4 separate regions of the Mus musculus genome follow, and regions 2, 3 and 4 are each reported to be linked to region 1. The links are microRNA targets in miRTarBase. Many come from high-throughput screens and were not tested one by one. Region 1 holds a microRNA gene; each other region holds the end of a gene's coding sequence.

Region 1 (5,806 bases):
TATATAAACAAATGTGGGCTTAAATGTGGCTATGCTTAAAGGCACCTTTAAGCTAGTACAGGGTAATTCTTCCTTAAAACCATTGGAGGGGTGGCATGCCTAAATCCCAAGAGGCAAACAGGGGTGTCTCCCAAAAGGTGCCCTATTACTGTTGAAAACACTTCCAGCTATGTGTTGGTTTAACTTTTGGGGATTTTTTCAGACAGGGTTTTTCTGTATAGCCCAGGATTACCTTTAGTCTCAACCCCAGTGATTAAAAGGGTGCTTGCATGCTTGCAAGCTTTTTTTATCCCTAGGAACCATGGCGGGTGTTTTAAAACAAAAACTGAGAAAGCAGCAAAATCAAGAGAACAAGACTTTATTATTCATGTTTGGAGGCTGAGGGCACTGGTTGCTCCCATAGCACCTTGGTTCATTCAATAGCACCCACATGTCCCAGTTCCAGGAAACCTTCATCTGGATTCAGATACACACTACACATGCATGAAAGCAGCCGACCTGTGAATGGTGCCCACAGGAGAGACTCAAAAGTAGTAGCACTTTCTATGTACAGTCCAGAAGTGTGCCCCACATTTGAGTCTCACCAAGATGAGCAAGCAAGGAGTCTCTGGTTGATTGAAGTTCCGATGCTTTCTCCACATGGCAACACACAAAAGGGAAGCACTTTCCACTTAAAAGCTTAGATAGGGCCTCCATTTTGAGTATGGCTATATGGAATTTCGCTAGATCCAAACATGCCTACAACTGAACTGAAGATTAAGGATTATTCAATGCCAAAAGGATAAATGCAGCTATATGTAATACAGTACCTGTCAAATCTGGGTCACTTCCCGTGAGGTTCCGTGCACCTCAGCTTTTACTTTTGCCCCATTACAGACTGAATCATACCCACAGATGACACCCAAATGATGCAACACTTAGGCCAACTGCAGTTTCTCAATCGGCAACACTACAAACTCTGCGGCACTTCTTACAAAGAACAAAATGTCACACAGTTTGAGTACCACAGATTGAAGCATTTCCACAGGGACCTGCTGTGGTAATAAACCTGAAACTTTATAGTCAGTTCTTAGCCAGACCAGCCAGCCAGGCAGGTTGAAGGCAAGTAAGTACCCCAGGCTAGGCAGGATTACATTCAACTCAACTGGAACACCTGAAAAACAAAGAGAATCCATGAAGATTATGCTTAGGGCACACAATGTAACACCTGTAATCCCAGCCCTCATGAGCCTGGGCTATTGTAAAGCCAAAAGGTATTATGGGTATTATCTACCCGGCTGTCCACCAAGCTTGTTTGTGCTAGGAGCCAGGTTAAAGTCAGCTACAGCCAGCAGGTCCTAAAAATTCAATCCAACCATATCAAGACTCACAACCATCAGTCCAACTACAGTAGTCAAGCAAGATATAGCAACTACAGTAGTCAAGCAAGATATATAGGATCTTTTAATCCCAGGTGGATGGAGCTGAGGCCAGGCTGGTCTACAAGTGAGTTAGCTCCAGGACAGCCAGGGCTACAGAGAAACCCTGTTTGGAGAAAAAGGAAAAAAATTGAAAGAGGACTTAATATGGCGGCCACGTGAGATTTAAAAGTAGGCCTTTCTTTACTCAGACCTGAGGCTTAGACTCACCACCCCTGGACCTGGAGTGCCTCCTTCCACCCTGCCCTGCTTCCTCCTCACCTCCAGCCTTGCAGCTCGAGTAGCCAGTGGCAACGAATTCACCTCCAGCACACATACCTGTTTCAAGCAGGTAAGCGATTCCAGGTTGCAGCTGCAGCCGGCTTTTCAGACGCCATGTACACACAGAGACAAACAAAATGGATGCACTTTCCCGCCAAGCCGCGGAGAGGGCCTCCACTTTGATCGACACTGTATGTTCCAACTTCCAAGACCTGAGGCTCAGCTCCTCCGAGCGAGGCCCATGTGGGATCCCGGCTCCTTTATGAACGCGGAAAGCCTTTAGTACCGCATGCGCCCAAGTGTTCGGACTCAAACCCACATGTGACACCCACCTGCCCAGAAATGCAACCCCAGTGAAAACATGACCCACTAAAACTTAATTCTTAGTTCTTAGCCGTTTTGAGTTCTCAACCGGTGACACTCAAAACCTGGCGGCACTTTTCTTCCGATGAAAATCCAAAAGAGCCCCCAGTTTGAGTATCACAGGCTGGAGGTCAAGCTTAAGAACAATCTACAATGCACCTGGACTCACGACTGCCTTACATCCATCCGCGTCTCGTGGCACCCAACTGAACCGCCCTCTTTAGGATAGGACCCATTAAACTCCAAGCCTAAACCCCCACACAGGTTGTCCGCTCCTGTAAACCGATGCGTCAGATGCAAAGCTATGATGTTTTCCCCATGCAGTGGCACACAAAGTGGAAGCACTTTCTCATTCAGGCTCAAGAGAGGGCCTCCACTTTGATGGCCGCTACATAGGTGTAACAGCTCCAAGCAGCGACAGGACGCACATGGAGCCCCCAGGTACCCTACAACGACCACCTCAGTTACCGTCTACTGGGCAGGATGCCCATCCCTAGCCTTTCGCTATACTCAGTCTCATTCCTTTCTTCGAATCCGTACTCACCACGCTGCAGTTAACCCGGAACACGTGGCACCAGGGCTGGTAAATGTGCCAGATAGCCGTTTTCTCAACCGGCGGGGCTTAAAACTAGGCGGCACTTTTTAAAGAAAAAAAAAAGTGCCCCCATAGTTTGAGTACCGCAAGATGAGGCGGTCCAGACGTTAAAACATTTACCAGGAGGAAAGAACGTGGAGAACTTAAAATTCACTCCAACCTGAAGGAAACCTGGATGAAATCAAGGAAGAGTTAGTACATCGGTCTAACTCAAGGTATAGTGAAACTCAAAATTTCTACAATGAAACCACGTAGTTAATGAAATGTACTGCATAGACTCCCTAGACCTGCCCTCAGTAACTCCTAGCTTTGGTTTCTGGTCCCCAAACTTCACTCGCGCCCAGACTACTCACTTTCCCCACATAGGCTCGTTCCTCCCTTGAAATTATGTAGACCAAGTCAGAAAAAAAAGCCCAACTCTTTTTCCACACACATTAGTTCTAAATGTCTTCTTTGGAGACCAGACCAACCTCAGATGGGCCTGCCTCTGCCTCGGGATTAGTAAACCCAGCCAAACCGTGGGGGCGAGCGAGGAAGGCTGAGTTCGCGGCTAGCCTGCCTTTTAAAAAAGGGGCTCTAGTTTTTAAAAAGTAGAATGAAGATGGCCGTGATGACCTTTAATCTGGAGGCAGAGAGGCAGGCAGAAATGAGAGTTAAAGGCCAGCCTGGCTAGTCATCTCCAAAGTTGAAGCAGGAAGATCTCTCTTCTGGAAATCCTGGATCTACTTTCGCCTCTCTAAACCAGGTAGATTAAAACCACAGAACTGAAGGAAATAAAAAATCTGAAACTAAAAATATTACCTTTGCCTATGTGAGAAGCAGCACGCCGGAGGTATCCCTGAAGACCGCAGAGACCAGCATTCCCGATGTGGAGTAGAAGTCTCTGAGAGGCGTGGGGGAGGCTCTAGGTTCTTATATAGTCTGAAGGCTCATTGGCCCCCTGGACTGGGAGGCTCTGATACCCCTCCCCCACCCCGGAGAATCCTTACTCTACCACCCTGCTTCCTCTGAGCTGAGTTTCCCTGCGGCAGAGTGACCTTCACTGGTTTCTTCTCCCCCCCACCCCCCAGAGGAAACAGATTTCTTTGTTTGTTTCTAGAAGCAGCGCCTTTAATCCTATAGTTTTCTAGGCCGAGGCTGGAGGATCTTTGTTAGTTCAAGGCCAGCTTGGTCTACTATGGTGACTAGGCACGGGACTAGGCAGGGCTACATTCAGTATTAAGATAATAATAAAAATAAATAAAGGAAGAATGTGGGAGGTTCAGTTTATTCTTTCGTTTGAATTTTTTTTAAATCCAGAGTTTCAAATCCTCCCTCTTTTTTACCTTTCTTTCTTTCTTTCTTTCTTTCTTTCTTTCTTTCTTTCTTTCTTTCTTTCTTTCTTTCTTTCTTTCTTTCTTTCTTTCTTTCTTTCCCACACTGAATATGAAGGTCCAAGAACAATATGATAGAGTTAGTTTTCTCCTATGCTTAAATATGTTTTTTTTGGGGGGGAGGGGGTTCAAGACAGGGTTTCTCTGTGTAGCCCTGGCTGTCCTGGAACTCACTCTGTAGACCAGGCTGGCCTTGAACTCAGAAATCCGCCTGCCTCTGCCTCCCAAATGCTGGGATTAAAGGCGTGTGCCACCATGCCCGGCTGTTTTTCTTTTGTTATTATTATTGTTGTTGTTATTATTATTTATTAAATATCTTTAAATAGCTCCATGGATTGAAATTAGGTCTCCAGGCGGCAGGGCTAAAGCTACAGAGGCATATTGCAGACTTGGAGTTTAGGGTTTGTTTGTTTGTTTGTTTGTTTTTTGGAGACAAGGCTCAAGTACGCCAAGCTGGCCATAAGCTCATTAAATAGCCAAGAATAATTTAGGACTCCTAAGTCTACACCTTGTGTGTGTGTGTGTGTGTGTGTGTGTGTGTGTGTGTGTGTGTAATGGAACATTTTTAAAAAATTAATTTAATTTTTAAAAATGTATTCACCCTACATCCTACTCACTGCCCCCCTCCAGGTCACCTCCTTCTACAATCCTTCCCCCAACCCCAGTCTTCTCCTCTGAGTCGCCCCCCCCCCCCCAGCACTTCCAGTCTGTGGGGCTAGGTGCTTCCTCTCCCACTGAGGCCAGACAAAGCAGCCCAGTTTGACCATCATAACTCCGGGACAGGCAACTGCTTTTGGGATAGCCTCTGCTCCAGCTGTTTAGGACTCACATGAAGGTCAAGCTACACCTCGGCTACATGTGAGCAAAGAGGCCTAGGTCCAGCCCATGTGTGTTCTTTGGTTAGTGGGGACTCATAAGTCTTTGTCTCCAATCTTCCAAGGGCTGGAATAGGCATATACCAGTATGCCCAGTTCAGTCATTAATTCCAGGCATATTTAATATACTTTAGATGTCTTGTTAATTGAACAAACAAGCCTCACCAGCAATTTGCTAGGTCTTAGGCTTGGGGAAGCAGATAGAGATATGGGTTTGGTCAAGTATAATGGCACATTCTTTTAATTCCAGCAATGGGTAGGCCAAGCAGCTACAAGTGAAACTGTGCCTCAAACAGCAGCAACAAGAAGGATAATTCTTTCTTTCTTTCTTTCTTTCTTTCTTTCTTTCTTTCTTTCTTTCTTTCTTTCTTTCTCTCTCTCTCTCTTTCTCTCTCTCTCTCTCTTCCTTCCTTCCTTCCTTCCTTCCTTTCTTTCTTTCTTTCTCTCTCTCTTCCTTCCTTTCTTTCTTTCTTCCTTTCTCTCTCTCTCTCTCTCTCTCTCTCTCTCTCTCTCTCTCTCTCTCTCTCTCTTTCTCTCTTTCTTTCTTTCTTTCTGACTGGATCTTTCTAGGCTAGGATGCCAGGAGCCTAGCCTGGGATGAGCTACTGATTTAGCTTCTCTTCAACTTTCCCAAGATGGCCTTGGCAACTCTGTTCCCTGTTCATACTGTGTTGAACATAACCAAGCAAAGTGCCCCACTAACTTAACCCTAAGAATTTTATTTATTATTTATTTATTTATTTATTTATTTATTCACTCACTCACTTCCTTACTTGCTTATTTCTTGTGACAGGATCTTGCTAGGCAAGAGAGGCCTGGAACTCACTATATAGACCAGGCTGGCCTCCAAGTCACAGAAATCCACGCATCTCTCTCTGCTTTCTCGAGTATGGGCTTGTACCAAGCTGGCCCACAGTGAGC
Region 2 (5,806 bases), not on the chromosome of region 1:
TGCAGTTGTGCTTGCTGTCTCAGCACTGCTCACCACGACCCCCTCCCTAAAATGTCTGGTATTCTCTCCCCAGCACCTCAGGCATAAGTTTTACTGAATGCCTATACATTCCAGATGCTCTGAGCACATGCCTGTCACAAATGATGATGACACAGTCACTGAGGTTTGGTATTTGACTAGATCTGTATGTGAAAAAGAGACTGGCAGCCATGTTGGTGCATGCCTTCCATCTCAGCAGGCACGAGGCAGACAGGGCACCTCCATGAGTTGGAGACAGGCTAGACAAGGTAGTATAGTGAGAACCAGGCCCTGGTGTAGGCTTTTAATAAGTGACTTTTAGTAAGGTTTCTTAAATGCTTTAACCTTTCTTCTATTCAGTTCACCACCCAGCAGAAAGAATGGGAACGGTTATTAGGTTACGGGGGAGGTGGACTTGCTTAGAAATAGTTCTTTGGAGCAAATCCATCATCAGTTCACTTCACAAGAATCAGCAACAGCAGGTCCATCCAGAGGAAACTGAGAGGCTCTGCTGTATGTGGTTTGGAAGAAGTTCCTTGGGGAGATTTCAATCTCCAATTGCCAGGATACCAGCAGTCCAGTTCAGTAGTCAGGATAGCAAACATGAATTAGCAGCAATGGCACTACCCAGCAGAAACAGCCAGACCTCCGCTGAATCAGCGGGATTGACCAGGACCGGCTGGGATGCCAAGCAAAGTTCTCTGTCGTGCCTCTCTCAACAAAGTGAAGATCAGTGAAGACAAAGACGTGTTGCAAAGGTAGCTATGCAAGCCCACCACCACCGTCCACTGAGCCTTGTTCATACTCCCTCCAAACATCACATGTCCTCAGCAAACACCACGTGAATTAGCATCAGCTGACATCATTCTGCCAATCGGCTCAAGTCTGAAGCAGCCAGAAGTCTCCAGAACACCACTAGCAGTTTTTTGGTGCGTTTCTTTTTGTGTCTGCTTCAGCGAAACATTCTTCCATGTGTGTGCTTTAGAAAACATCCTTTCACCTGTGTGCCCCAGCAAAATGTCATTGACATAACTGACTTTCCAAAGAAACCAGAAGTTCCACTTTACCCCGTAGGTCCTTTGCAGTCCTGAGCAGCACCCCAGCTTACCTTGAACTTGTGGAAATCTTACCTTAGCCTCCAAATGCTGAGATTTTAAGTACAACCCTCCACACCCAGCCCCAATTAAAAAAAAGACCTTTGTTTACTTTGCACACGTGCACATGGCTGTGTGAAGCCGGAACCCACGTGAGAGAGCAAACTGCAGGGGCCACTTCTCTCTTTTCCCATGTGGTCTTGGAGAGCAAACTCAGGCCTACAAGCTTGGTAGCCAGACCTTTATCTGCCCCTAAGCAGGCTTCATCTGTCCTCTCTTACAGAGGGTCTCACTAAGTTGCCAGGCTAGCCTTGAATTCATTCTAAAGTCCAGATGGTCCTTAATCTCGTCAGACTCTTGTCCATCTTTCCCTGGCTGGGATTATAGACTTTCAGATGTGTAGTACCATATTAGGCTAAAATTTAAAAAATAAATAAATAATTTTTTTTTCCTGTGTAGTTCTGGCTGTCCTGGAACTCACTCTGTAGACCAGGCTGGCCTCGAACTCAGAGACCTGCCAACTTTTGCCTCCTGAGTGCTGGGATTGGAGGCATGCTCCACAATGTCTAGTTAGATGTGGTAATATTTTATCTTAGCAATAAGGAGGCTAAGGCAAAGAACTAGGTATGGGTGGAGAGATGGTTCAGTGGTTAGTGGCACTTCCATTCTTCCAGAGGAACCAGTACTCACACTCAGCAGCCGACTACTCCTAGGATAAGCACTAAGGAGGTACGTGAACTCACACGCACACACCCCAACCCAGACTCACATAAAATAAAAAGGAGGGAAAAAAGCAAGAGGAATACTATAGCATGATGTCATTTAAGAACAATCTTAGTCGGGCAGTGGTGGTGAACGCCTTTAATCACAGCACTTGGGAGGCAGAGGCAGGCGGATTTCTGAGTTTGAGGCCAGCCTGGTCTATAGAGTGAGTTTCAGGACAGCCAGGGCTACACAGAGAAACCCTGCCTCGAAAACCAAAAAAAAAAAAAAAAAAAAAAAAAAAAAAAAGAACAATCTTTCCCAAAACAGATCAACAAAGGTGAACACACTCACTGACAAGTAAGTGACTTTTGGGAAGAAGAGCAGCATCTACATCATTACTTTGGTGTTAAAAGTTTTCACACAGGGCTGGAGAGGTGGCTCAGGGGTTAAGAACACTGACTGCTCTTCCAGAGGTCCTGAGTTGAAATCCCAGCAACCACATGGTGGCTCACAACCATCTGTAATGGGATGCAATGCCCTCTTCTGATGTGTTTGAAGACAGCTACAATGTACTCATATAAATAAAATAAATCTAAAAAAAAAAAAAACCCAAAAGAAAAAAATTATACAGCTTCACACACATATACAGGAAAAACTAATAAATATGTCTTTAAAAACGAGAGTTTTCAAAACAAAATAAAAGTTTTCACATGGAAATTGTATTGTGCTACCTGTGTAATTAAAAATAAACAAGGCAGGGGCTGGAGAGATGCCTCAGTGATTAAGAGCATTTGCTATTCTTACAGAGGACTCAGGTTCAAGTCCCACACAATAGCCTACAAACACTTATAACTACAGGAGATCTGACATCCTCTTCTGGCTTCTGTGTACACTAGGCATATAAGTGTTACACAGTCATACACATTAAAACAAACAAATGAAAGAAATCAAAGAAGAAAATACAAGGAACTTGGTGAAGGGTTTGCTCAGGCTGTTCTCTAAACCTTCTCAGGTGAACCCCCTGCCTCAGCCTTTCAAGTATCTGGGAATAGAGGAGTACACCAACATGTCTGGCCAGGGTCTGTGTGTGTGTGTGTGTGTGTGTGTCCATCTATAAAAGTGGGACTGAGGGTGCAGCTCAGTGGTAGTGTACTTTGCTCGAATGCATAAAGTGGATTCAGTCCCCAGCACTACAAATAAGATTTGTATGATTTAAAAGGTAGTCTGGTATATGTGCCATGTATTACAAATATCATTTTATTTAGAATATTCTCACTGTTTAGCAGCTCATTGTGAAGTGCTTAGGGGTGAAGTATCAAGAGGTCTGTAGTTTTGGAATAAGAAAGAAAAGTACTGAGGGCAGGAAGTTAAGAAGACAGTGGAGGAGAGGATGTGGCATGGGAACGGAGGGAGGAGACAGCAAGTCCACAAATGTCAATCACTGGTCACCCTAGCTGCATACTTGTGGGTGACTAATCAACATTTTCCCAACATCTTTGTAGGTTTGAAAAAAATTTCAAGGCAAACACAATGCCAGGCCTCCTTCCAGCGGTGGACTGACCCATGCTCCCTAGTGTGCTAAGCACACAAGTCACTTGCATTACTAGCTTTCACCTCTAAGAACGTGTCGTCTCTCCTGGGAGTGCCTCTCAATTCTTTTCCAGAAAGCCCCAGTGCAAAGCAGCCAGTAGCATGTACTAGGAGGAAGGGCTATAAAAGTGAAAAAGTGGCATATGAGGCTCACACCTCCAAGGCTGGACGCCAGTGTCAGTTCTGAGGGTGGCATAGCACATATCTCCTGGTTCCCCAGGTTGGTCCCAATGCAAGGGGTTCCTTTTCAGGGGGACACTGTATGAACCAGTAAAAAGGGGAATATTCCCAATATCCACCCTTTTTTGCTTGTCACAATGACCCTAAGGTTGACACCCTCTCTTGACAGTTGAGGAAACTTGTTCTGCAGGAGTGCTTTGCGCCCAGCTCACATGCAGAGGAAATGGACTCAGTCCACATCTTTGGGTAGAAAGTCTCCCTCAAGCCATGACTCCTTTTCCGAGCCAGGAAGAAAAGGACACGTACCTGGTTCCGTCTTGTCTAGATTACATTTCCCCACACTGTGAGATCACCACTGGCAGTTTGGGCTTATTGTTGGGGCCTGTGGGAACATTCTAGAAAACAAAGCACAAGATCATGAAATGCACTCAGGCACTTACCCGGTGCCTCATGGAACCTTTCATCTCCTATGGAAAGGTCCAAGATCAGGCTGATGTAAGGAGCGTGTCCTGACGGAGAGTAAAATATAACAGATCAAGGAGAAGAGGAACAATGAGAGGCCACAGCCCACAATGGGATCATGCAAGTTAGAAGAACACTGAAGGGATCCAGCTTACGGAGAGGGAGCCACAGAAGGGACATTGGAACTGGGCCAGGGACCATAGGTAAGATCCCAAGGAGGAATTCTTTAGGTAGAGAGAAGTGTTGGAGCCAAGACTTAGGGTGCGAAGAGCAGGAGGCACACACTTGTAGGACCTCCTTAGAAAAGAGCCAGGAGCTTGATGACACCGGACCAGAGGAGACAGTGGCAGAAGGGGTCACGGAGGGGCAGGTAGGGTACAGGTCACAAGGATTCCAAATGCAATGCCAAGAAGTGGAATTTTATTCAGTGGGCATCAGGATCAGAGCCAAAATCCCAGTAAGTGCTGGGCAGGTTAATGAATGGGTCCAAGCTTGAACTCTCTTTCCCAAAGGAGCCTGGAACTGTGAACAGGGACAGATGGTCTAGAAAACTGGCTCCTCGGTAATAAGCATGAGACCCCTGACCACAAAGACTCAGGACACCCATCAGGACCTACCTCGATCTTCCTCATCACTAGAAGTCCGTCAATGATTTTTCCTGCAGAAGAACATTAAGTAAGGCTCCCTTCTTGGTGTGATCACAGTGTTTTCCAGCTCCCAGGGACCATGTTCCCTTAGCATCTCATCAGATCCCCTCACAACGCAAGGAGACTAAGGCTTGCTGAGGGAGCTTACTCACCCAAAGTCACGGGGAATCTACACAGAGAACGAGTACAGGCTTGAATATAAGTGACCCCAAGCCCACTCCTCCATGCTACCTCTAGGGCATTTATTATTTATTTCACGAGTACTTATTGAGATACTCGGGCTGGAGAGATGGCTCAGTGGTTAAGAGCACTGACTGTTCTTCCGAAGGTCCTGAGTTCAAATCCCAGCAACCACATAGTGGCTCACAACCATCTGTAATGGGATGCAATGCCCTCTTCTGATGTGTTTGAAGACAGCTACAATGTACTCATATAAATAAAAAAAAAGAGATACTCTTGTTTTTCCCGAGTTCTAGCCAATCCCCATGTCCATCTGTCCTGCCATCCCCACCATGTCCATCTGTCCTACCATCCCCACCATGTCCACATGCCCTAGCCTAGAGTAGCTACAGCAGCTGAGCACATCTAGTGGGTGTGGAGACTGGATTCTGTGGCAGGCCCAAGTGACTGAGACGATGGAACGGGAGTAAGACTTACCAAACACTACATGCTTTCCATCCAGCCAATCACACTTAGAACACGTGATAAAGAACTGGCAGCCATTTGTACTGGGACCACTGTTTGCCTAACAGAAACAAAATACACCTACATAAGTTTCTCTGGCCACTGTAGGTGATTTCCCACAAAGTCTGAAGCTCTAACTACAACCTAACCGAGCACCTATTATGAGCCCAGGCCTAGACAAGGACATTGGATGAATAGGATGCAGAGTCCCCACCCCTGAGAATCTAAATTCTTTTATCAATGCACAGTTGTCTTAGTGTAAAGTTTTATAGAGCCAGTCTCTCCTTCCATCACATGGGTCCTGGGGACTGAACTCAGGCCATCAGATGGGTGATAAGTTCCTTTACCCAGCAAGCCCCAGCGTGAGGTTTGTAATAGGAATGACTGCTCATCTAAAACAAGCAAACACATGATTTACTTAAGTTT
Region 3 (5,806 bases), not on the chromosome of region 1:
ACTCACTCTGTAGCCCAGGCTGGCCTCAAACTCAGAAATCTGCCTGCCTCTGCCTCCCAAGTGCTGGGATTAAAGGCGTGTGCCACCACGCCTGGCAGGACAGCTGTTTCTAAACATTTATGCTTAGACCAGGGGTCTCTGTCATCCCCATGGGACTGAGGCAATGGCGTCCTTGACATGGTTGTGCATGCGTCGGTAATACACATCCACTCAAGACATCATTTGATCCCCACAGAGTGCCTTCATATACTCATTTCTTCTTTGTCACTCTGCTGGGGACGCAGCTGTGAACAAGATCTACAGATCCTCCACCCAGCCAGTAGCCTTAAAACAAATAGTTACACTAGGTGTACCAATTGACCAGAAGAGGCAGGTGGCAGGGCCCCCTAAACCCTCAGAGGAATCTTACAGTGAGAAGCCTTGGGAGAGACTTCCTCAAGGCCACGGGCCCAGCCTGAGCCTAAGCAACGGTCTGCCTCACACCTTATTGAAAGCCCAGGCCACCCCTTTCTGTTGCCCATCACTTCATTCCTCATTCTGCAGTGGCTCTCCAAGGAACCTGTCTTGTCATCACTTGCCGTCATGTTATGTCACATAAGAGGGAGGTGTGCAGAAAGGTGGCTGCCCTTTCTCAGCACTTGCTAGGAACTTGACATTTGTTTGAGATCAGAGTCAGGTTGAGATGGTCTACACTGTTGAGGAGACAGGCTTTTCTCTACTTTTGATGGAGCAGACATTTATGTACCATGCTTTGGGCCACCTGGAGAATCCAGATAAGCAGAATAAGTTTTCTACCCTCCAGGAGCTCGAGGGTAGAATAAAGGTCAGGCCATCATGGTGCAGGCCTTGAATCTCAACACTTGGGAGGCAGAGGCAGATGAATCTCTGATTTCTAGGCTAGACTGGTCTAATGAGTGAGTTTCAGGACAGCCAGGGCTACACAGAGAAACCTTGTCTTGGGGATGGGGGTGGGGGGTGGGGATCATCAAACTAAAAAAGGAGGTAATTGGGTTAATGGGGTAGGTAGGTTGTTACAGAGGCCTCTGACAGCAGAGTGGAATCTAGGTGGGTGGGTAGCCCCAGAATTTATTTGGGCTGGGGTTTGTAGGGTAAGGAGTTGGCAAATAGTTAAGAGATGGGGATAAATAGAGCTTTGATATCAGGCTACAAGTGGGCTCCGAGGACGCAGTAGGTTATCAGTAAACTCCTGCTGAGTGGATACCTTAGAGGAGATGAGAGGAGACACTTTGTTAGGTATGCCAATGTTACTCTCTTCTTGGAGGCCCCGGTGCCCTAGGCAGTGCAGAGCTGGGACACGAACCCTATCATCAACACCTAGATCTTGGAAAGTCAAGATAATGGCCTAGGCTGGACATGGAGGCAAGTGAAGAGGGGTGGGCTGGCCATCACTCCCAGTCCTGAGGAAAGCTAGAATTGGAGGCCTGTTACTACGCTCTGAGACATGTCACACATCCTCTCATACTTAAGAATATCACTGGGACAGCATTTGACAGCAGAGCACTGACCCCTCGAAATGTTCTCCCTCTTCAACTGTTTTTTTTTCTCTTTTTTCTTTGTGTTTCCTTTTCTCTCTCTCTTTTTTTTTCTTTGTGTTTCCTCTTTTCTCTCCAACTGTCTATTGAGCAAGCTGGGGCTTTTAAGACCTGCTTCTGGGTTTCTATGAGGGTTCCTGCGAGTCTGGGGGTTGACAGGCAGGCTGCACCCAGGCTGACTTTTCTCTTCTTGCTCATGGTAGGGTTTGGCATCAGCTCATCCTTTCTTGGCATCTCGTGGGCACTGCTGGATTACCATCGGTCTCTGCGTACCTGTCTTCCCTCCAAGCCACGCCTGGGCCGGAGTTCCTCTGCTATCTACTTCCTGTGGAACCTGCTGCTGCTGGGGCCCAGAATCTGTGCCATCGCCTTGTTCTCAGCTGTCTTCCCCTACTATGTGGCCCTGCATTTCTTCAGCCTGTGGCTGGTACTTTTGTTCTGGATCTGGCTTCAAGGCACAAATTTTATGCCTGACTCCAAAGGTGAGTGGCTGTACCGGGTGACAATGGCCCTCATCCTCTATTTCTCCTGGTTCAACGTGTCTGGGGGCCGCACTCGAGGCCGGGCCGTCATCCACCTGATCTTCATCTTCAGTGACAGTGTTCTGCTGGTCACCACCTCCTGGGTGACACACGGCACCTGGCTGCCCAGTGGGATCTCATTGCTGATGTGGGTGACAATAGGAGGAGCCTGCTTCTTCCTGGGACTGGCTTTGCGTGTGATCTACTACCTCTGGCTGCACCCTAGCTGCAGCTGGGACCCTGACCTCGTGGATGGGACCCTAGGACTCCTTTCTCCCCATCGTCCTCCTAAGCTGATTTATAACAGGCGTGCCACCCTGTTAGCAGAGAACTTCTTCGCCAAGGCCAAAGCTCGGGCTGTCCTGACAGAGGAGGTGCAGCTGAATGGAGTCCTCTGAGGCAGGGTCTGATTCAGCCAGTGAGGAAGATAATGCGAGTGGGGCCTTGCAAGGGACAAGGCGGGCCAGTCATGTGCAAGCCATTTTTTTTCTTCTGAAGCCGATGGAACTGCTGTCAGCAAACACTCGGTTGTTTGTTGTTCTCACCTCTCAGGTGATTGGTGGCGTCCTGGCTCCTGGTTCCCTAGCCCGCTCTAGATGACACAAGATTCTGGGAGAACTCTTCCCTACCCCATCCCATCCATTCACTTCAACCAACAAATGCTAAAGGCACTTTATGTTCTGGGAACACCATCCTGGCTTCTGAACTGCCTGCCACTCTAGCTTCTTTCCCTGCCCACCTGGACAGATCCTGGGTAGACTCCTAAACAGTGAGGCCAGGTATGTCCCTCCAGTGTCCTGATGCTCAGGCCACCTTTATACCAAGTGCCTTATGGACCTGTGGTCTAGGCCATGTGATGCCCAGTAAGTATTTTCATTCTCCTACCTCAGTCTATGTGGAAGAACATATATGCATGTGTTTAACAGTATTAAAGCCTCATGAGATTCTCCAGACCAGTATGTACCACTAAGTGTAGTCTATCACCCTTTACAGACACGTAGAAGGCGCCTGGAACCCCTTAAAACTGACACAGACCCCTGGCATACAAATGTGGGCATAGGTTTGACTTAATTTTGCTTCCCAAGACGCAGGGGCTAGTGAGCCCGAGCCGGTTGATCATTCGGCTAGCAGAACTCATGGGCAGATGCTAGTGTATTCTTTTAGCAGCTCCGTACTGAGCCTAAAGAGGACTTGAGGATGGGGATGGCAGGTTTGAGGGGCTGGATGGAAGGTAAAGGATTGGGGGTTCTTTTTGGGTGAGAGGTGCAGTGGCTTCTGGGATGTGGTCAATAGCTCCGTGGAGGTGGCGTGTTCTGCTCTCGGAGGTTTGTGGTCTTGTTGGGAAAAGGGAACAGGAGAGAGGCTCCAGGGGCAGAAGAAAAGGTTCCAGGTCCCAGTGCTGGGACCCAGATAGTTCTAGCAGTCATTCATTTATTTGTGTGGACGTGAAATAACCTGTGACCCAAACAAGCACCAAGTACTGAAAGAAAACCAGATGGAGAGGTGAGAGGGAGGATGTATGTTGTGGGTGGAAGTTGCAGCTTTATAAAAAACCATTGGGGAGGACCCCTCTGAGAAACTGAGGCATAGACTGTAAGCTACTTCAGCAGTGACTGCAGCATGGAGTCTGCGTGGTTTGTTGGAGAAGGAATCTGCGAATGCTGTTCCCTGTGGCACAGCAACCCCACTGTAAGAGGACTGTGGGGTGCGGTTGGCTCACAGCCAAGGAGGCTGCAGAGATGCAGGTGGGGGCCTGGAAGAGGCTCTGGGAGAAGGTACTTCTTATACTAAAAGGTACAGGCTGACTATGGACAGAAAGGACCTAATTTCCAGACCTGAATTTTACAGACCAGGAAAAGGAGCCAAAGTGGTTGTTGATGTTAAAAGGGTCTGAAAAACAGTCACCACCTCCGTGTTCACTCTCATGGAAAAACGGATGTAATCACACCAGAAGGTGTCATCCTCTAAACAGATGCCCCCACAGGTACACACCTGAAATCACTGTTACTCTCATTTATGAAAATGGTAAGATAGGGATGAGCCAGTGTGACACACCTACCAGTCTGGGCAAGGACATCAGGAGTTCAGACTCCTCAGTGACAATGTCAGAGGCCAGCTTGGGCTACATGAGACCCTGTCTCCAACAAAATGAAATTATTTTATTTATTTATTTATTTGGCTTTTTGAGACGGGGTTTCTCTGTGTAGCCCTGGCTGTCCTGGAACTCACTCTGTAGACCAGGCTATCCTCAAACTCAGAAATCTGCCTGCCTCTGCCTCCCAAGTGCTGGGATTAAAGGCATGCGCCACCACGCCTGGCACATTTTTTTTTTAAATTAAAAAAAGAAAGACGTTACTACCCTGCTCTTGTTTTGTGACACACAATCTGGTCTGAGAGGACCCTGAGCACATCTTCCTTCCTTCAACACTACCGTGCTAAGTTCTTAAAATCTGGGACTTAAAACCAGGTTAGTGACATTACCCGTAGTTAGGATGTTTGGTTTGTTGGGGATTGGTTCTAATGCTCTGTCTTAATTCGGCTCCCAGAATCACACGGGAATCTGCTCTGCTAAAGGAAGCCTGTCACTAGTTGGCTGTGATTGGGAAATAAAGTTGCCCAGGGCTGGCTGGGCAGGAAAGAGGCGGGACTTTTAGGTTGTGAGGGCAAGGAACCCCGGGGAGTTGGAAGCAGAGGGATTTCACTGCGCAGTTGGGTCTGGGGCAGCAGAGATGAAATGATGACTTAGCAAGTCGACTCAGGGAGGTTAGGGGGGTAGAATGTATGCTAGTCGCACGGAGGGTTAGACACGTCCAGCCACTGAGCTAGTCAGAGCATATCAAAGTTAGATGGTGTGTGTCTCTCATTCACAAATCCCGGGAACACTTGGCCAGCCGGGAGTCAGGGGTCTAAGCACTACAGGGTTTGGAAACCAGCCAACACTAGAATCTGCACTTGTGACTGAGCAGGGGTACGGACAACAGCTAACAGTCTACTTGAGCTGCACTGCGGCTCAGAAGATCACTTCCCGGAGAAAATTCACCTTGGAGTCCGACATATCTCACCTTTGGAAGCTAGAAACAACTTCTAATTTCCTTCACTGGAACAATGGGTAAAAAGCCCTCTTGTAAGCTAGTGGGGGCCAATCAGACCAAATGTGGCAGAATGTAGAACACCTGGTTGGTGGGACGGGAAGTCAGGATTTATTGGGTTGCGGCTTAATTAATGCTCAGCACAGACTGACTCCTCCTTGGTAACGTTCAGCACACTCGACAGCTCTGAAATCCATTCCATTTCTATACCTTAAAAAGCAGTGTATTTTAGAAACAATTCAAATAAACATTTCTCTCGCAAACTTACAATTGTTTATTTTCCAGGATAGACCAAAGGATGACTTTGTGTGTGCGTGAAATGACTGACTCAGTTAGTTAAAGGGTGACATCTTGATGAAGGACCCTGGATGGCTTAGAAAAGACAAAGGAGAAAACCGTATAGAAAATAAAAACTTTATTTTTTCAAGTTTATAAGATAGTTCCCATTACATATAACATTATGGTCAAGGACTCTATAGCCACAAATGCCCGCAGTCACATAAATATATATATCCCACCCATGGATGCCTTTTCCTGCTACAGAGGCATCTGGAGTCCAGAGGGAGAGTGGAGATCCAAGTAGAAATGGTCCTGAACTGGGATGGCTCCGCTCAGTGTGAGGAGGCAGCCAGGGAGCCATGCT
Region 4 (5,806 bases), not on the chromosome of region 1:
GTGGAGAGATGGCACAGCACTTGAGAGTTAAGCACCTACTGCTCTTCCTTTGGATGGTTCCCAGGCATCTTCTATCAGTGTCTCACAAAGTGCCTGTAATTCCAGTTATAGGAGATCCAATGCCCTCATCCATCAAGACACCTGCACAGTGAGCATACGCTATCCAGACATACACCACATAAATAATAAGATCTTTAAAAAAATACACTAAGTATTTGTTGGATGAATGAAAGTGTTCAGGCCAAAGGAGAAGGGGAAAATGCCAGAGAGCAAGTATCCACATTTCATATTGGGCAAATGACCGATTTTTAAAAAAAGTCTTTCTCCACACTGGATTACTCTACTCCTGAGTTCTTCAAGAAACATTCATTGTACGACCATTGGGTGCACATGTGGGCAGGGATTATTGTACTGAGGACAGAACCAAATTCTCTCATACTCAACATACAACACATGGATGATGCCTCAAAGTCAAGAAAGCCTAAGATGCTGGTAGGACATAAACTGGTAGGAATGGGAAGGACAGAGGAAGGAGGCAAGAGCCCCAGGGAACAGGCTGGAGGGTAAGGGAGGGCCGCTGAGAAGGGGAACTGAATCTGAGTGATCCTTTGGGGTGGGGGAAATGGGTGGGCTAACAGAACTGAAAAGCACTGTCCCTTTCAGGCCATCCTTGTGAAGTACAGGTTAGTCATTAAGAACCTGAAGCGAGGGCTAGAAAGACGGCTCAGTGCTTAAGAGCACTGACTGCTCTTCTGAAGGTCCCAAGTTCAAATCCCAGCAATCACATGGTGGCTCACAACAATCAATAATGAGATCTGATGCTCTTCTGGTGTGTCTGAAGACAGCTACAGTTACTTAGATATAATAATAATAAATAAATCTAAAAAAAAAAAAAGAACCTGAAGCAATGGGAGAAAGGAAGGGCCAGATTGTGATGGGGTTTGTGCTTAAGGAAAAGTATTTAGACTTTTATGTTGTAAACATAGACAAAATCCTACCCGGTCTATATTACATTGTTTGCAAGAGTGGGGGAATGAGGGGAAATATATTCAAAGGAAGGCAGATTAAAAAAAAAAAAAAGCCACACATTTGGGACATGCCTCCCCTAAGTTTACCTGTGTGGTTGGTAGCTGTGTGGTGTACCAGGGTCAACTCTACAAATCACTTCCAGAAGACACTATTTAAGAAACCCAATAGCCAAATCCTTACTGGTCTGGTAACTGCAAACCAGCTATGGACTCATCTCTGCTCTGAAAAGCACTTTTCATTAAGGTATATGATGGTTAATTCCAGTTGTCGACTCCATTGTATGTGGAATCAACTAAAAGGCAGCCTGCCAGGTATTCCTGATGGGTTTCCCTGCTCGGAGTATGTAAAGTGGGGAAGATAGGAGAAGGAAGCTCTGCTCTTTGCCTGCAAGCCTTCACTCACAGGCGAGTTAATCTACCCTGCTGTTGCTGCACTCTGATGTTATCAGAACTCAGTATGTTTTCATGGGCTTCCACATGGGCTTCCACATGGGCTTAACACCAGAGATTTTCCAGGAGTCCTCCAGGCCCACAGTACCAGATGGAAACTTCTGAGGAACTCAGCCTCATGGACTAAGCAGCTATCAGGTTCTCAGCATCTTCAGTGTGAGGTAGACCATACCACATAATAAAAATCTTTTAAAAATATATGTTCACCTTATTAGTTCTGTTGCTCTAGAGTCCCCTAACACAGGGTGAGATCTACATCTTCTCACAGGAATATGTGCTCCTAGGATAATGAATAAGAAAAAAACATAGTTTGTCAGGGAGGGAGGGGGAGCATCAAGGGTCAGAAGTTTAGGACATGCATCAGGTGTATTCCCAACTCCACTCCAAGAAACACGACACAGGATCATGTTAATAAACAACTTTATTCTGGTCACCATACCGGGAACATTCCCAGCTAAATGCACAGAGAAGCGAGGTATCACTGTGTTAATACAGGAGCCACTGAGTTACATGGGACAGAATATGAGGAGACAGCACCAAAGTTGTGAGGTCAGACCAGGACAGAAGCCCTAGGCTGATGCGGCAAGGCATATCTTCAACATCTGTATTGTTTCAGTAATGTTAGGGGAACAGATAAAAAACTAGAACCAGTTGGGCGTTGGTGGCACACGCCTTTAATCCCTGCACTTGGGAGGCAGAGGCAGGCGGATTTTTGAGTTCGAGCCAGCCTGGTCTACAAAGTGAGTTCCAGGACAGCAAGGGCTATACAGAGAAACCCTGTCTCAAAAAACAAAACAAAAACAAAAAACTAGAACCAGATTCTATGACATCTTGAGTAATGCTGCTTTACACACAAACACAGATTTCAGGACATTCTAGTGGCACTGCCATAGGCAAGCAGCTTTCCCTTCACCACTTCCTCAATTCCACCCATGCCTGAACTCCTGTCTTTGAACCAAGCCTTGATGAAAGTCTCATATAAACAATGAAACTGTCCCAGACAGCAATGGCTACATTCTAAGAGCACCAGGCATCTCTGGTTAGCTATCCTCTACGAGTGACCGGTGGCTTACCTCAAGCATAAGACAGAGATGAGTACAAGCAGTACACAGTCTTCTGGAACTCTGTGCAGACTGATGCCTTGGTGAGGCTGCACGGCTACTGCTCACATCGCACTAGAGACCACAGCCTAGCTCAGTCTACAAACTGCTGGCTAAGTATCTTGTCTACAGGTGTGATCTGAGCCCACCTCCATAGCTCTAAAGAAGAAACCAAATCAGAATGACTAGCCTTCTCTATAGCATTTCACAGGATGGACTGCCGACATGTTGAAGGCTCGCTCTCACAGTATTAACATTTTTCTTAAAGGACACCTTGAGTTACATTTGGCACTTATTTGAATGTATCTATTGGGGCAATTTATTTGTACTTAACTTTTGGCAAAATAGAAACTTTGGTCATAGTTCTATAAAAACTTCTTAAAGGGTTATTTCTGGTTAAAATACTATTTTAGGAGTGATATACAACAAGAACAAGAAAGTAAACATAGTCATATCTAACATAAGAGCATGAGCTCTTCACCAGCATCTTAAATACAGCGGGAGTCAGTAGTGCTTACAAACGGAGAATAATCTTAAAGAACAGTTTCCTAGCTATCAAAATAAGGCACACCCTGCTATTGTCACCCATTGCTGTTAGGCAGTAGTGTTCTTCTTGGAAGGTCCAAGTTAGGAATCTAATTACCCAAAAGTTTAAAATGTGGTTTTGAAGATGATGTCAGATGTGGGGACAGCTGCCTTGAACAAAACCCCCTTCCTGGAATCCACAACAAGTCATCTTGAGTGACAACATCCACCTCCATTCAGCACTCAGAACTACACAAGTCCTCTTTCCCAGTCCAGAAATCTGTAAAGGCACTGTGCAAAATGTGGGGAGGGTAGGTCACACCTCCAGTTTGGAGTGTATATGAAAAACAAAGGCACATTTTCTAGGCACTAAACTGTATGTAAACTAACAAAAATAATCATTTGGAAAAAAAACAATAGGTAAGCTCGATAACACGGCAGGTTCTAAGTAGAAAGTCTTGAAGAAGATCCTGAATATCGGGCTTCAGTTTCATCGGTTCTTCATTAAGAGACACACCACACTAAGAGGCAGGGAAGATTTAGAAACAATGAAAAGGGCATGTTAGTCTTTGTGTGTGCAAATACTCAGTAGGGATGGACTTCTACTGTCTAAAGAGGGACAGAGAGAAACTGACTTGGCCAGTTTTCCACTGGCAGCTTCTTTACATGCTACAGGGCTCTGGGGAAGACTAAACTCAAAAGTGGAAAAGGAAATACTAACAAGAACTAGCAAAGGAAGGCATGCTTTGCTAGGATGTTCGCATAGACTGGAATGAAAATAAAGTGAGTTCTTCTAATATGCAGTCACAAGAGTGGTGGGAGTAGCTATGTGCTAGCTATATACATTATTTACATAATTACTATTTCTGTTCTCCTATGCCAGGTACTTTCTTATGTAATAACCAGGTTTGTCCTAACAACACAAGGTGGACACCATTACCATCTTCATTTTATTCATGAGGACACTTGAGGTCCAGACAGACCCAACTGCTTGCCCAAAGTCACAGAGCCTTACTACAGGTGGCATAGCTGGGATGGATCAACTCAGCTAATCACTACATTCCACAAAAGGACACAGACTAAAACTGCACAGGAGAGAAAAATTGACCAGACATTAGGAGTGAGATTTGCTATTCTTAAAGGATAAGTGCACCCATCTATCCATCATCCATCTAACAAAACACCAGACTTTAATTACAAAAACTCAAATATTTAGGATCATTTTGGTGGCACAGGCCTATAATCCTAGCGCTTGAAATGTTAAGGCGGAAAGATCACAAGTTCAAGGCCAGCCTGGGTTGAACATCGAGACCCTGCCTCGAGACCCTGCCTCAAACTTCCCGCAATACCATCATCTCAAAACACCCTCAAGTATTTAAAATACTTGATAAAGAACGATATTTAAACCTTGGACTGAATCCACTCTTTGCTGCTGCACAGACGAACGTCTATGACCATGGGTAACTCACCGATGATGATGATGACAATGATCACCAGGACACTGATCCCTATCGCCCACATCTGCAACAAGACAGATCCATTTAACATTGCAAAACAGACAGTGCTCGCCGCAACCGCTACAGTGTGAAATAATTTATATAATTTCTAAAGCCTAAATTTTATATTTTCAGTTAAGTCCTGAAATTTAGTTATGGGCTTTCAGAAGTAGATTCCAATCCTCTGTGACCTCTGAAAACACACACATTTCCACACAGGCTCCTGATCTTGTCCCATTATCTCAGAGTGTCCTTTCTAAACAAAGCATAACAGGAAGTGTGTGAGCTCTAATCACAGACATTCCCATTTGCTAAGTCTGCTTTGGACAATATTCATATGTTGCTTTCTCCTCTTTTTGAACAAGGTGGGATTTCTTAGCATTTAACTTTTTTTTTTTTTTAAAGATTTATTTATTTATTATATGTAATACACTGTAGCTGTCTTCAGACACTCCAGAAGAGGGAGTCAGATCTCGTTACGGATGGTTGTGAGCCACCATGTGGTTGCTGGGATTTGAACTCCTGACCTTCGGAAGAGCAGTCGGGTGCTCTTACCCACTGAGCCATCTCACGAGCCCAGCATTTAACTTTTGAAATTGGAGCCATTCCCAGAATGGGCAGTTAACTGAGCATCAAAGCCAATAGCCCCGTCAGTGTGTTCTCAGTTACCTAGGTCTAGTGCCCACGACTGCTTGGGCCGTCTGATTCTGCATGTCTTCTAACTTTAGCCACAAAACATGGCATTAGATTCCCAGCTGTGGGCCAGGAAAAGGGATATAGACTCATAGTTGGCCAAGATTCTACCCACTACCCAGAGTCACCCAATGCAACAGAGTGCCTGTGCAACACTTGGGGTATGGAGGCCCGCTGTGAAGGTCTGTCAAGAGAGCATTACCTTGCAGTTCTTCCACCAATACTTTCTCTTCAACTTGGCAGCACTTGTTTCAAACTGCGAGGCACCTGCCTGCAGTGCATCTGCGCGGTCATCTAGCTCCGAGAGCTTCTGGTCTCTTTCTAACACCTTATCCACATTGACTCTCATGATGTCAACCACCTAAATGGACATGGTCACAGTTACACGGAAAGGAGAGGAAGAACAAAACTCCACATGACACCTATGGGCACTTTGTATTTTTTTCCAGATCAGTACTTTATTATGTTGAGCTAAACTTCCACTTAAGAAGGAAGCCCAGGCCTTTGGGATACA

Evidence for each region. Region 1 holds the annotated microRNA mmu-miR-290a-5p (ACUCAAACUAUGGGGGCACUUU, at 2,698-2,719, opposite strand). A microRNA usually pairs through its seed, bases 2 to 8, with sites in the 3' UTR of a target mRNA and lowers its output. Matches are read on the target gene's strand: a 7mer-m8 pairs with bases 2 to 8, a 7mer-A1 pairs with bases 2 to 7 and ends in A, and an 8mer does both.
Region 2: the mRNA of Ppih is a reported target of mmu-miR-290a-5p. The part of its 3' UTR that is shown has no 7-base or 8-base seed match.
Region 3: miRTarBase lists Xkr8 as a target of mmu-miR-290a-5p. Seed matches in the 3' UTR shown: 7mer-m8 at 3,285-3,291 and 7mer-A1 at 4,257-4,263.
Region 4: miRTarBase lists Vamp3 as a target of mmu-miR-290a-5p. Seed matches in the 3' UTR shown: 7mer-A1 at 2,259-2,265.

What each region holds. Positions count from the first base shown.
Region 1 is chr7:3,215,552-3,221,357 of GRCm38, reverse strand. Mir290a (microRNA 290a) reads right to left here and starts at 2,732; the gene lies at 2,650-2,732. It overlaps Mir290b (microRNA 290b), which reads left to right and starts at 2,663; the gene lies at 2,663-2,720. D7Ertd143e (DNA segment, Chr 7, ERATO Doi 143, expressed) reads right to left here and starts at 2,574. Exons shown (of 1, transcript NR_028425.1): 1 at 343-2,574. Mir291a (microRNA 291a) reads right to left here and starts at 2,439; the gene lies at 2,358-2,439. It also overlaps Mir292, Mir292b, Mir291b, Mir293, Mir294 and Mir295, and 1 more gene. RefSeq lists a cis regulatory region at 5,756-5,806.
Region 2 is chr4:119,306,866-119,312,671 of GRCm38, forward strand. Ppih (peptidyl prolyl isomerase H) reads right to left here. Exons shown (of 10, transcript NM_028677.4): 7 at 5,354-5,441; 8 at 4,667-4,707; 9 at 3,894-3,982. The coding sequence ends at 3,914. Among named protein-coding and RNA genes, the nearest start is that of Ppih, 11 kb to the right of the region's middle.
Region 3 is chr4:132,724,521-132,730,326 of GRCm38, reverse strand. It overlaps Xkr8 (X-linked Kx blood group related 8), which reads left to right. Exons shown (of 3, transcript NM_201368.1): 3 at 1,757-5,423. The coding sequence ends at 2,472. It overlaps Eya3 (EYA transcriptional coactivator and phosphatase 3), which reads right to left. Exons shown (of 17, transcript NM_210071.2): 17 at 5,562-5,806. Among named protein-coding and RNA genes, the nearest start is that of Xkr8, 5.1 kb to the left of the region's middle.
Region 4 is chr4:151,045,423-151,051,228 of GRCm38, forward strand. Vamp3 (vesicle-associated membrane protein 3) reads right to left here. Exons shown (of 5, transcript NM_009498.4): 3 at 5,495-5,653; 4 at 4,573-4,624; 5 at 1,883-3,624. The coding sequence ends at 3,608. All of the region lies in intron 1 of Gm38529, which reads left to right. Among named protein-coding and RNA genes, the nearest start is that of Gm38529, 3.5 kb to the left of the region's middle.